Oryzias latipes: one gene and its partner. The protein of the gene in region 1 purifies or fractionates together with the protein of each later gene. This does not show direct contact. Links are inferred from orthologs where the notes say so. Each region holds a gene or a part of one and is shown in the gene's direction. Other genes may lie near its edges.

The links.
Region 2: the proteins of phgdh (region 1) and epsin-1 purify together in Homo sapiens (affinity purification with mass spectrometry; 3 studies listed by BioGRID and IntAct, with this or other methods). This does not show direct contact. The link is inferred for Oryzias latipes from reciprocal best matches to the Homo sapiens genes PHGDH and EPN1.

What each region holds. Positions count from the first base shown.
Region 1 is NC_019879.2:21,728,110-21,732,682, forward strand, and holds the start of phgdh (D-3-phosphoglycerate dehydrogenase), read left to right. Parts: upstream 1-1,697; 5' UTR 1,698-1,772; coding exon 1,773-2,060; intron 2,061-3,833; coding exon 3,834-3,985; intron 3,986-4,060; coding exon 4,061-4,126; intron 4,127-4,215; coding exon 4,216-4,270; intron 4,271-4,429; coding exon 4,430-4,528; intron 4,529-4,573. UniProt on the Homo sapiens protein: Catalyzes the reversible oxidation of 3-phospho-D-glycerate to 3-phosphonooxypyruvate, the first step of the phosphorylated L-serine biosynthesis pathway.
Region 2 is NC_019874.2:19,874,717-19,879,214, reverse strand, and holds the start of epsin-1, read left to right. Parts: upstream 1-1,626; 5' UTR 1,627-1,779; intron 1,780-1,786; exon of another isoform or gene 1,787-2,013; intron 2,014-2,465; 5' UTR 2,466-2,551; intron 2,552-2,800; exon of another isoform or gene 2,801-2,873; intron 2,874-4,498. UniProt on the Homo sapiens protein: Binds to membranes enriched in phosphatidylinositol 4,5-bisphosphate (PtdIns(4,5)P2). Modifies membrane curvature and facilitates the formation of clathrin-coated invaginations. Regulates receptor-mediated endocytosis.

The sequences.
Region 1 (4,573 bases):
ATTTACTTAGGTTAGAAAAACAAGGGTAGTCCAGCCTTTGACTCGTTCTTTTTATTTATTTATTTATTTTGGCTGAAAATTAAACCTGACTTCAATTCTATTTCAATAGACTACAATTTTATTTAATCTCAGTCACATCATAATAACAATAAACTTTAACACAGCACACATTTTCCTATCATAAATTAAGCCAATAGTAACTATGAAAATACTTGTGTCATTTCTTAAAGTTGTTTTTAAAATAAAGTAAATAATGCAATCCATAATAAATGTTTGACTGAAAAAAAAAGAGAAAAAAATGTAAATTGGTCATAAACTTTATAAATTCAAAAAAAATCCCTGTATTAATATTGATGTGGTTAGACATATGCTGAATGACCTATAGGCCAACATTAGATTACACAGCCTGTCATATGCTGTTTAATGAGTCAGGAGATCAACAGTGTCTTAAATCTAGCGTCACATGATCTGATTTTCTGGACAAATTGAAGAAGTATACTTTTTAATTTGGTTTCTCTCTTCGTTCTGGCGTTACACAGTAACAAATCTTTGACTATCATTTGAAATGCTACATGCTTAAACCACATGATTAAAGGTACAGTGACTAAATAAGATATGTATCCCTCATTAAATATTGTAAAAGAGGAAAATAGAAAACGAGGCGCTAAGTTTTGTCTCAATTTTTTGCCCTTTCTGGAGATTTGTACTTGCACTTTCAGTTTATGGTCCCTTTTAAGATACAAATTCCTTGTTGAAACTTTGTTCTCAAATTGAAAAAAGAAAGATAGAATACTTTCTGCAAAAAAGATAATTTGGACTTTTATCGATTCTGTAGATTTTTGGCTTTATAGTTCTTATTTTTGTCAACACTTTAAAAAGTTACTTGTGGCATATACAGTGTATATATCAAAGCAAAAGAAAGCAAAAAACAAAACAAACAACTGAAATCTATGCAGAAATATATCAAATATGGGATAATTAGTCATAAAATTGATTGGAAAATGTGCATACATCCACATAAAAAAATTTTTTTATTACTCTTAATCATTAGCTCTTTTGCATCACACAAAGAAACAATTAGGTTTGACCAAAGTAGTTGAATTGATTGCGTGAAAGGGAATGGGAGGGGGCAAACTTATATAACCCCTGGCTTTTGCATTACTAACTAAATAATTATCATAAGCAACTATTGCTATTGAGTTTTTTGTTTTTCCAATTTCAATTTTACACATTTATTTCCTTTTAGATTTTTTTCAAACAATTTAAGATTTTTTTATGATTATCTATAACATTTTTAAAACAATATTGTTTTTTTTTTCTACCTGTTTCACCATTATGTCGTTATTCTGGCACCTTTGGAAGTTGTAGCATCCTCTGCTATTTAGACCAGATTTTCTTTGTTTGTTTTTGTTTTTTCCCCATCTTCTTCAGTTAATTCAGCACCAATAAAGTTATTTATTCAATATTAGTGCTTACATTATAGAATCTCTCCAGCAATTAGCAGTACACACAGTTTTCACTCCTTTATCCATTGTATTTCCTACATTTTTTTGCCCTTTTTTAAATTAAAAGCCACTTGGGTTACAACTATTGCGCTAGTTCATGAGTTCCTACATAAAACTATAACCATCGCAGCTGTTTTGGTTCTTCATTTTGCAAAAAGAGGTGCTTTTTTTCAGTGGGTTTTCTGCTGGCAGAGCTCTAAAGAGTGACTCTTCGAATTCATCTCCAGTCACGCCTGAACGGGTGATGTGCGGGAGGCGGGACCACGCATGCTTTCAGCTTGGAGAAAGCCGTTTCAAAAGACTAGGGGTTTTGGGGGAGGAACTCTGAAGAGGACCCATCATCATCATCATCATCAGTTCACCAACTCTCCTAACCGGCTGCCCCGCATCCGCAACCCCACAGAGAAAAATCCCAAGATGGCCCCGACCTCCATCAAATCCGTGCTAATCAGTGAAAGTGTCGATCCCCGCTGCAGGGCGATCCTGGAGGAAAACGGCATCCTAGTGACGGAGAAGCAGAACATGAAGAAAGAGGAATTGATTGCAGAGATTGGGGTAAGAGCGGGTCTTTTGTTGTGGAGGCTCCGAGGGCATCGGGGCACTTTTCTCTCACGCACCGTATTCCTGCGCGTACGTCCTTTATCTCGATAACGTGCTTTAATGGATGCATGTAGAGACATGCTTGCTGGATTTTGCACGTGGAGTCCGATTACCCAGATGATCTCAGCTCAGTTCCGCCCTATAGGAGAGCGGGAGGCTGATGCAACTCATCTTTGACTTTTCTTTAGACGCATTCCTCTGCGCACCCCCGTCGAACCAGCTGTGTCCTTGAACTGTAAAATTTATCAGATTACATCCAATCTAATAAAAGAAAAGAAAAGTTGCTGAACTTTTTTTCAATTATTTTTTTATTTGCTCCATCTGAATGACTGTTGTTATTGGAGCTGATTCCCAGGGCCGGATTCGTCATGATTTGAGTCCTTGGGCCAAATTGAAGTCATGGGCACCATTTATAAGATTTCAGTTTAAAATGTAGGTAGAAGACTATAAAGCTGTAAATTTATTGAACATCTATAGTTAAAGATCCACTCTGATGTAAATCGTGTTTTTGGCATTTTAACATGTTCTTGCTGCATTTTCTCATGATGGAGGACAAACTTTGAGAAATTTAAGCCTAAAATAGCATTTTCTGAGTCTTTCTTTATTCAAATAATTGTGAATCAGGCAATCGCGAAAAAGATTTGCGATGCAGACGCTACCAAGGCAAGCCACAAGCCCCCTGTTCCGATCTATTCTAATGCATCCACTTGCAGACAAAGAGATCCATGAACGTCTTTGTTTTCCTGGTCTGAGCTGGCATCTGGCTCAAAACTGTACAGCTGGATAGCTCCAATATTGCTAGCTAATTTTTTGCACCAGTAATTTTTTGTTGAGGGTGGGAGGGGCTGTAAACTAGTGGGAAAGCATGTAAACAGATTGGAAGGGGGCCGGCTTACTCCCAAGCCAACAGTCCCGCCCACAGCTCAGAAGCAAATTTCTAATGAACTACTACAGCTCTGCAGAAAGTATGTCCTAGAAAATGTCACAGGTTTTTTGATTTTCTGATCGGAGAGGGACTTTGAAGGAAAAAGTTCTTCAATCACAAGTTACTGTAGAGCATTACAGCAAAGATAGCTTACTCGTTCATGTTTTATGCACACATAATATTCTGTCTGTTGCTAATTTGTAGTGTGCTACTTTTCATGTGTTGTGCTAATGCTCCTAAACCACAAAATACAGTGGTAACACAAATGCACAAGTAACTTTTTTTTCTTCCTTTTAAAAAAAATGCAATATAAAGGATCAATAAGTTGAAGTTCTGATTGCAAGAATTATATTTTTAGTGGTTAATCAAAAAATAACAGAGCTAAATTTTTAAAAGACCTCCTCTGATCATCTTTTAAGCTATTTTAATAGTGATCCCACCTTGCATATTTCGACGTCACAAATAAGCCCCTTTTAAGCAGCATCTGCTCCAAATTCACAGTGATTTGAATAAAGAAATACTCAGAAATGCAGTTTTACGCTGAATTATCTTTATACATGTCCTCCATCATCAGAAAAATGCCACAAGAACATGTTAAAAACACCAAAAACACCATTTTCATTATAGTCGGCTAATCAGAAGTTAGTCCTAGGCACAAAATAAATTATAAACAGTTTTTGTTATGGTCATGTTGTTGAACAGCATTCAGGATTTAAGTGGATTTCATAATAAAGTGGGGTAAAATTTTTATACATCACAGCTGTTTTGTTCATCTGCCTTTTGATCACTTCTTTACATTTTAGCTCTATGATGGCCTTGTGGTCAGATCTGCAACAAAAGTAACAGCTGACATCATCAGTGCCGCTCATAATCTCAAGATCATCGGGAGAGCTGGGACCGGTGTGGATAATGTGGACGTAAATGCTGCTACCCATAAGGGCATCATTGTCATGAAGTGAGTCCCCAGTTTTAAATACTGATTCTGGTCACCGTGAAGGGCCCAGTGTAACTTTCCACTGTTTTTTCCCAGCACACCAAGCGGTAACACAATTAGTGCCGCTGAGCTGACATGTGCACTGCTGATGAGCCTTTCAAGGTACAAACTGTACCTTTCTTCTACCATCGGTAAGCAGACCTGCTATTAGCAAGGGGATTGTTAATCAGAATTTTTTTGTTTAATTTTAGGAATGTGCCTCAAGCTGTAATGTCAATGAAAGAAGGGAACTGGGACCGTAAAAAGGTAAACAGAGGCTTTCCATCTAGCCCTTCGTTTGCTTCGGCTCATAAAGCAATTGCTGTTGCATGGATGGTTCCACTGTTCATCCGCTGGTTAATAATCACATCTGACACTTGGGTTCTCATTGTTTGGATTTTGGGTGCTTTATTCCCTTCACTGCAGTTCATGGGTTCAGAGCTGTATGGCAAAGTTCTAGGAATAGTTGGACTTGGAAGAATCGGGAAGGAAGTTGCCACGAGAATGCAAGCCTTTGGCATGAAGGTGGGTTGTAGAAATACAACACGCTGAGACTTGTGAGTAATATTA
Region 2 (4,498 bases), on another chromosome or scaffold:
ACTTCACTTAGTGCATAGTTTCGGGACTATTATTGCCACTGGTCTGGCGGCTGTGCGTTATGCAACACAAACACTGGCTGCCATCACAACGAGCGGTCACTGCTTGGATTTCTCACACCACTGTTATGCTTATCACCAGTGTGCGCTCCCGCCTTTGTACCTCCACCCTGGGGTCCGTTGGCCTCTGTTGTGACAACCCGTTTCTGCTCTCTGAAACACAGCTTTCATCTCTCCTATGAAGCTGACATCAGGAGCCAACAGCTTTAGCTCACAATACTAAGTGAAAGAAATACTCGCTCACAGGGGAGCAGCGTGTATAGAAACTAGGCTCAGATGAGGGATCTAGTAGAGCTTTCCTGACACTTACTGGGAAGTTGCATAAGGAACATCTTCTGTTACACTGTCAAATTTGCTGAAGCTTTTCACTTCTTTAACAAAAACTTTGTTGTTTTTTTTGTCCTTAAGGCACATGATGCATTCTCCTTAAAACCTATAATATAATTGTAATAAAATAAACACAAAAAAAACAACTAGTACCAAGAACTGCTATAAGAATAATAACAGAAAAAACAAGTTTAATGAGCACAAAGAAGAAACAAACAGGATGGTGACATCATCCACTGGTTTAATCAAGTAACAAGAGCTAGAATTAGTGGCATTTAGTTACTAATAGGATTTAGAATGCAAATTGTCCTCTGCATCAGTTTCCTAGTAGATTTTGAATAAGATGAAAATGTGACATAGAGAGCATGAAATGGGATGATTGAAAGTCACAATTAAACATTGTCTTTTCTGTACAACAAATAAAAATAGTGCCATCTTGTTGGTGAGTTAAAAAAAAAAGAAAAAAATAGTCTCCTAGTAAATTATGACAAAATTGCAATTTTTCTAAATAAAGGGATTAAAAAAAAATCCTGAACTAAACTTTCAACACTGTTTTCTTGTTTGGTTTTTATGGCTCCACTAACGGGCCACAGGCTTTTTGTGGCTTCGTTTAAATCAAGACATACGGTAGTCCAATGGTGCCTCTTTGTGGACAAAATCATTCATTGCATTTTTAAAAATAAACAAAATACTCACATAGTAAAAATAATCAATATATTTAAGGTGTACTCTGTTACAATTTAAAAGATATTTAAATCAATTCATTTTTTCAATTATGTAAAAATAAAAAGAAAGAAAGAAAAAAAGAAATTAACATGCACACAGACAAATAAATAATAAAGGAAGTGAAAGTTTCAACTGATGTTTCTGTTACCATTTGTCCTTGTTAGTTCTTGATTTTTATACTCTGCTTTCAGTTTCTCTGTTTGATGGATAACCAAGGTTATTATGCTTCTAAAATTTTGCAAAAATAGGCACTGCTATTTGTTAGCTATTTTTGTCTCTAATTGACTCCTCTATATTCACTCTTCTTAGTTGACCTAAATGAAGGCAGGGCTCTCGTACACGTGCACAAAACAAACAATAGAAGAAGAACATTTATTTAATCAATGGAGGACTTCGTGTTTACTTTTCTTTCCTTTGACTAAACAGCTTCAAATGCGGCATGATTTTTAATACAAGGTTTGTGCAACAAAATAAAATTTAAAAAATGCATTTTTATGTTTGTTTCTGGGCTGTTTTGAATTGTGACTGGTGTGAAAAGTATATGAATTAATCATGAGTTATACCAGCATGGCATGATGAAAACACAGCTACAGGGGGTGCGGTCTTTCCTGTAAGGAAGCACGGAAGCGGAAATTCGGCCATCTCCTCGTACATTCAAGCTGCAACAGGGTTAGTACACACTTCATTTAGGTATTTATTTATTGTTTTGTTTGCATCTCCAACAGTTTTGCCCATATGACTTTTTGATGAGTGTCTTCAACACTCCCCCGCAGCAGAACACGCGTTTTAAATGCCGCACAACAAAGCAGTCAGATGGCATTCACGAACTAGCATCAGAAGCTAGCTAGCTAACAGTTACATTCAAGGAGCAGCAAGTGATTTCTTGGTATGGGAAACTGTCAGGTAACGTTACCTTCGTGTTCACTCTGCTGAGGGTCAGCGATATGACGTGAAGATTTCTATTTGGTTTGCATTAGTTAGCCCGCTTCTTTGCTCCCGTCTTGTGGACCCAAGTTAATAGTTTACCTAGACTTTACTTAGACAAACTGTTTCGATTAGCCATATGCTAGCTAGCTAATGTTAGCCATAAAATGACAGCTACTTTTAGTTACGTGTTTTTTTTTTTGTTTTTAACTTTTGTCTCACATAAAGACTTGGCGACACCATAGTATTCTGTATAATTGCTGAATGGTGTTGTACCTATTTGGCTTCTTTAAAGGCGTTCATACGTTAAGAGTTGCATAACGTGTATTAATATTAGGTTGCTAGCCAACCTTTAGCTTGTTAACTTAATAGGTGTGACAGGCAAAATCCAATTTTGTCTGACTGGGTAACGGTTGTTGGCTTATCTACAGTTTAGTTATCTGGATGGAAACCTTTTCTTTACGGGCCTGCGCACCGTCAACTGCATGATAACACAAGAGAGGAGGAATAATTGAAAGTAAGTTGAGTTCAGTGTCAGCTCTGCTACTTGATGTTAGTTTGAATTAAATTAAAAGTTTCAATCAAGCTAATACCAGAGCTCTCACTTTTTTAATGTTAAGTTTTAAATTGTGGCCTGGATGTATTATCTTATATTAGTTCTAGCTTTACTAGCCAAGTTAGTTTTAATATTGCCAAAAATATTACGATTTTTTTTTCCCGAGATGTAACTGAGCTGAATGTTTTTTTGTTTGTTTGTTTTTATTAGTAGAACAAGTTGAACCTTCCAGCTGCTTAACTTCAGTGTCAACATATTCCAGAACCTCAACCTTACACACAAGGTGTGTTTGTACTTTGCTCAGCCATGCTGCGAGTGACAAAGGTTAAAAAATAGTTAACCACTAAATGAAATTCGCGTTTTTCAAAATTTAGATTTTGAGATTGAAGTCAAAGCTGTAAAAATAATCATAAATCAAAGTTGTCAGTAAATGTTCATAGATGAGCTTAAAATCATGAGCAAATTTAGTTTTATCAATGTTACTAGCAAGTTGAGGGAGTGGTCCTGCTATCAGCTGCTGTCATTAGAAGTTAACAAAGTGGCGGCAATCTTTATGCAGGTCAGTGTTATGTCACATAGGTGTAGTTCATGTTAGGCTTGCCAACATTTTCCTGAATAAATAACTGCACTATTCTGTTAAGTGCATGGGAAGCGTGATAGACAATATGTTCTTAAAGGTTTGGGGGGAGAATGAAGACGTGTTTTTTTTCTTTCTTATTTTAGCAAAAATAATGCAAAATTAGCTTTTTCGTCTCTCAAAATTAAAAGATTTAGGGTTAAGCTGTTGTTTTTTGTGACTTAAAATAAAACACCCTTTTACTACAAATGTTAAGTGTGTGGAGATACTGTAACATTTAGCTGCAATATTTAGTTTAGCATGCTGATGGTTTATTCATTCAAAAAAGTGGATCATGATGTTTCATAATCCACTGTTTTTAGTCAAACTGTTGGTGGACTCTGAAATTGTAATCCCTTTAGTATCACTCCATAATCAGTCATTTCCATTTAAATTTGTTTTTTTTATAAATATATTTGTTGCGTGTTCTTTACAGTTGGTATAGATGAATGAGCCTGATCTTCTCGTACCATTACTTGTATACAAATGAAAAACAATGTAGTATTGGAGTTAATTCAAGACCCTTTACATGACCACCTATTAATGAAATTATCAATTTGCTGCTTTTTGCATCACACCTCTTCATTTTTAAGAAAACTCAAATTGCATCTCTAGAAAATTTGGGGTTTGTTGCATCCATTTTGTTGTTGTTGTGGTTTTGTACCAAAAGTTGAGGTTTTAGTTGTTAGGGAAAGTACAAAAGGGAAAGGATACATCTGGTCAGCAACTATGGTTTAACCTGCTGTGCAAGCAATTGAGAACAAACGATACACAAGAGGGAATGGCCTGGGGTGAAACGGTGGGCCTCATAATATTTCACATAATCATGCATAGCATGAAGTAAAACAGATTAGGTCATGTCTGTGATTATTTTAAAAACGAAAGCACTAATAAAAACAACAGCTTACTGACCCCAGACTCCTCAGCCTTACTTTTTGGTCCTTTTGACTCATTGTAGGTTTTAACGACATTGTACCTAAACTTATGCTTTTATTAGAAAAGCTGTGTTTATAATTACAGTTTATTGTTATTATAACCATTGTTTTCTTTTGGTTTCTAGCTGTTAGTGGTGAAATAAGGGAAGTTGTTTACAGAACTTTAAGTAACAGATCTTTTTCACAACCTAATTCAATGACCTCTTGAAGTTTTAAAGGACTTGCTAGTAAGCTGCATGTGTTTCGATTCTTTTAAAAAATATGGACGCTTCCCTCTAAAGCTCATAAAGCAGCAGCAGAACACTGAGACATGCAACTCTTTGCTTTTACTCTGACACACAGCTTTTCTTTTTTTTA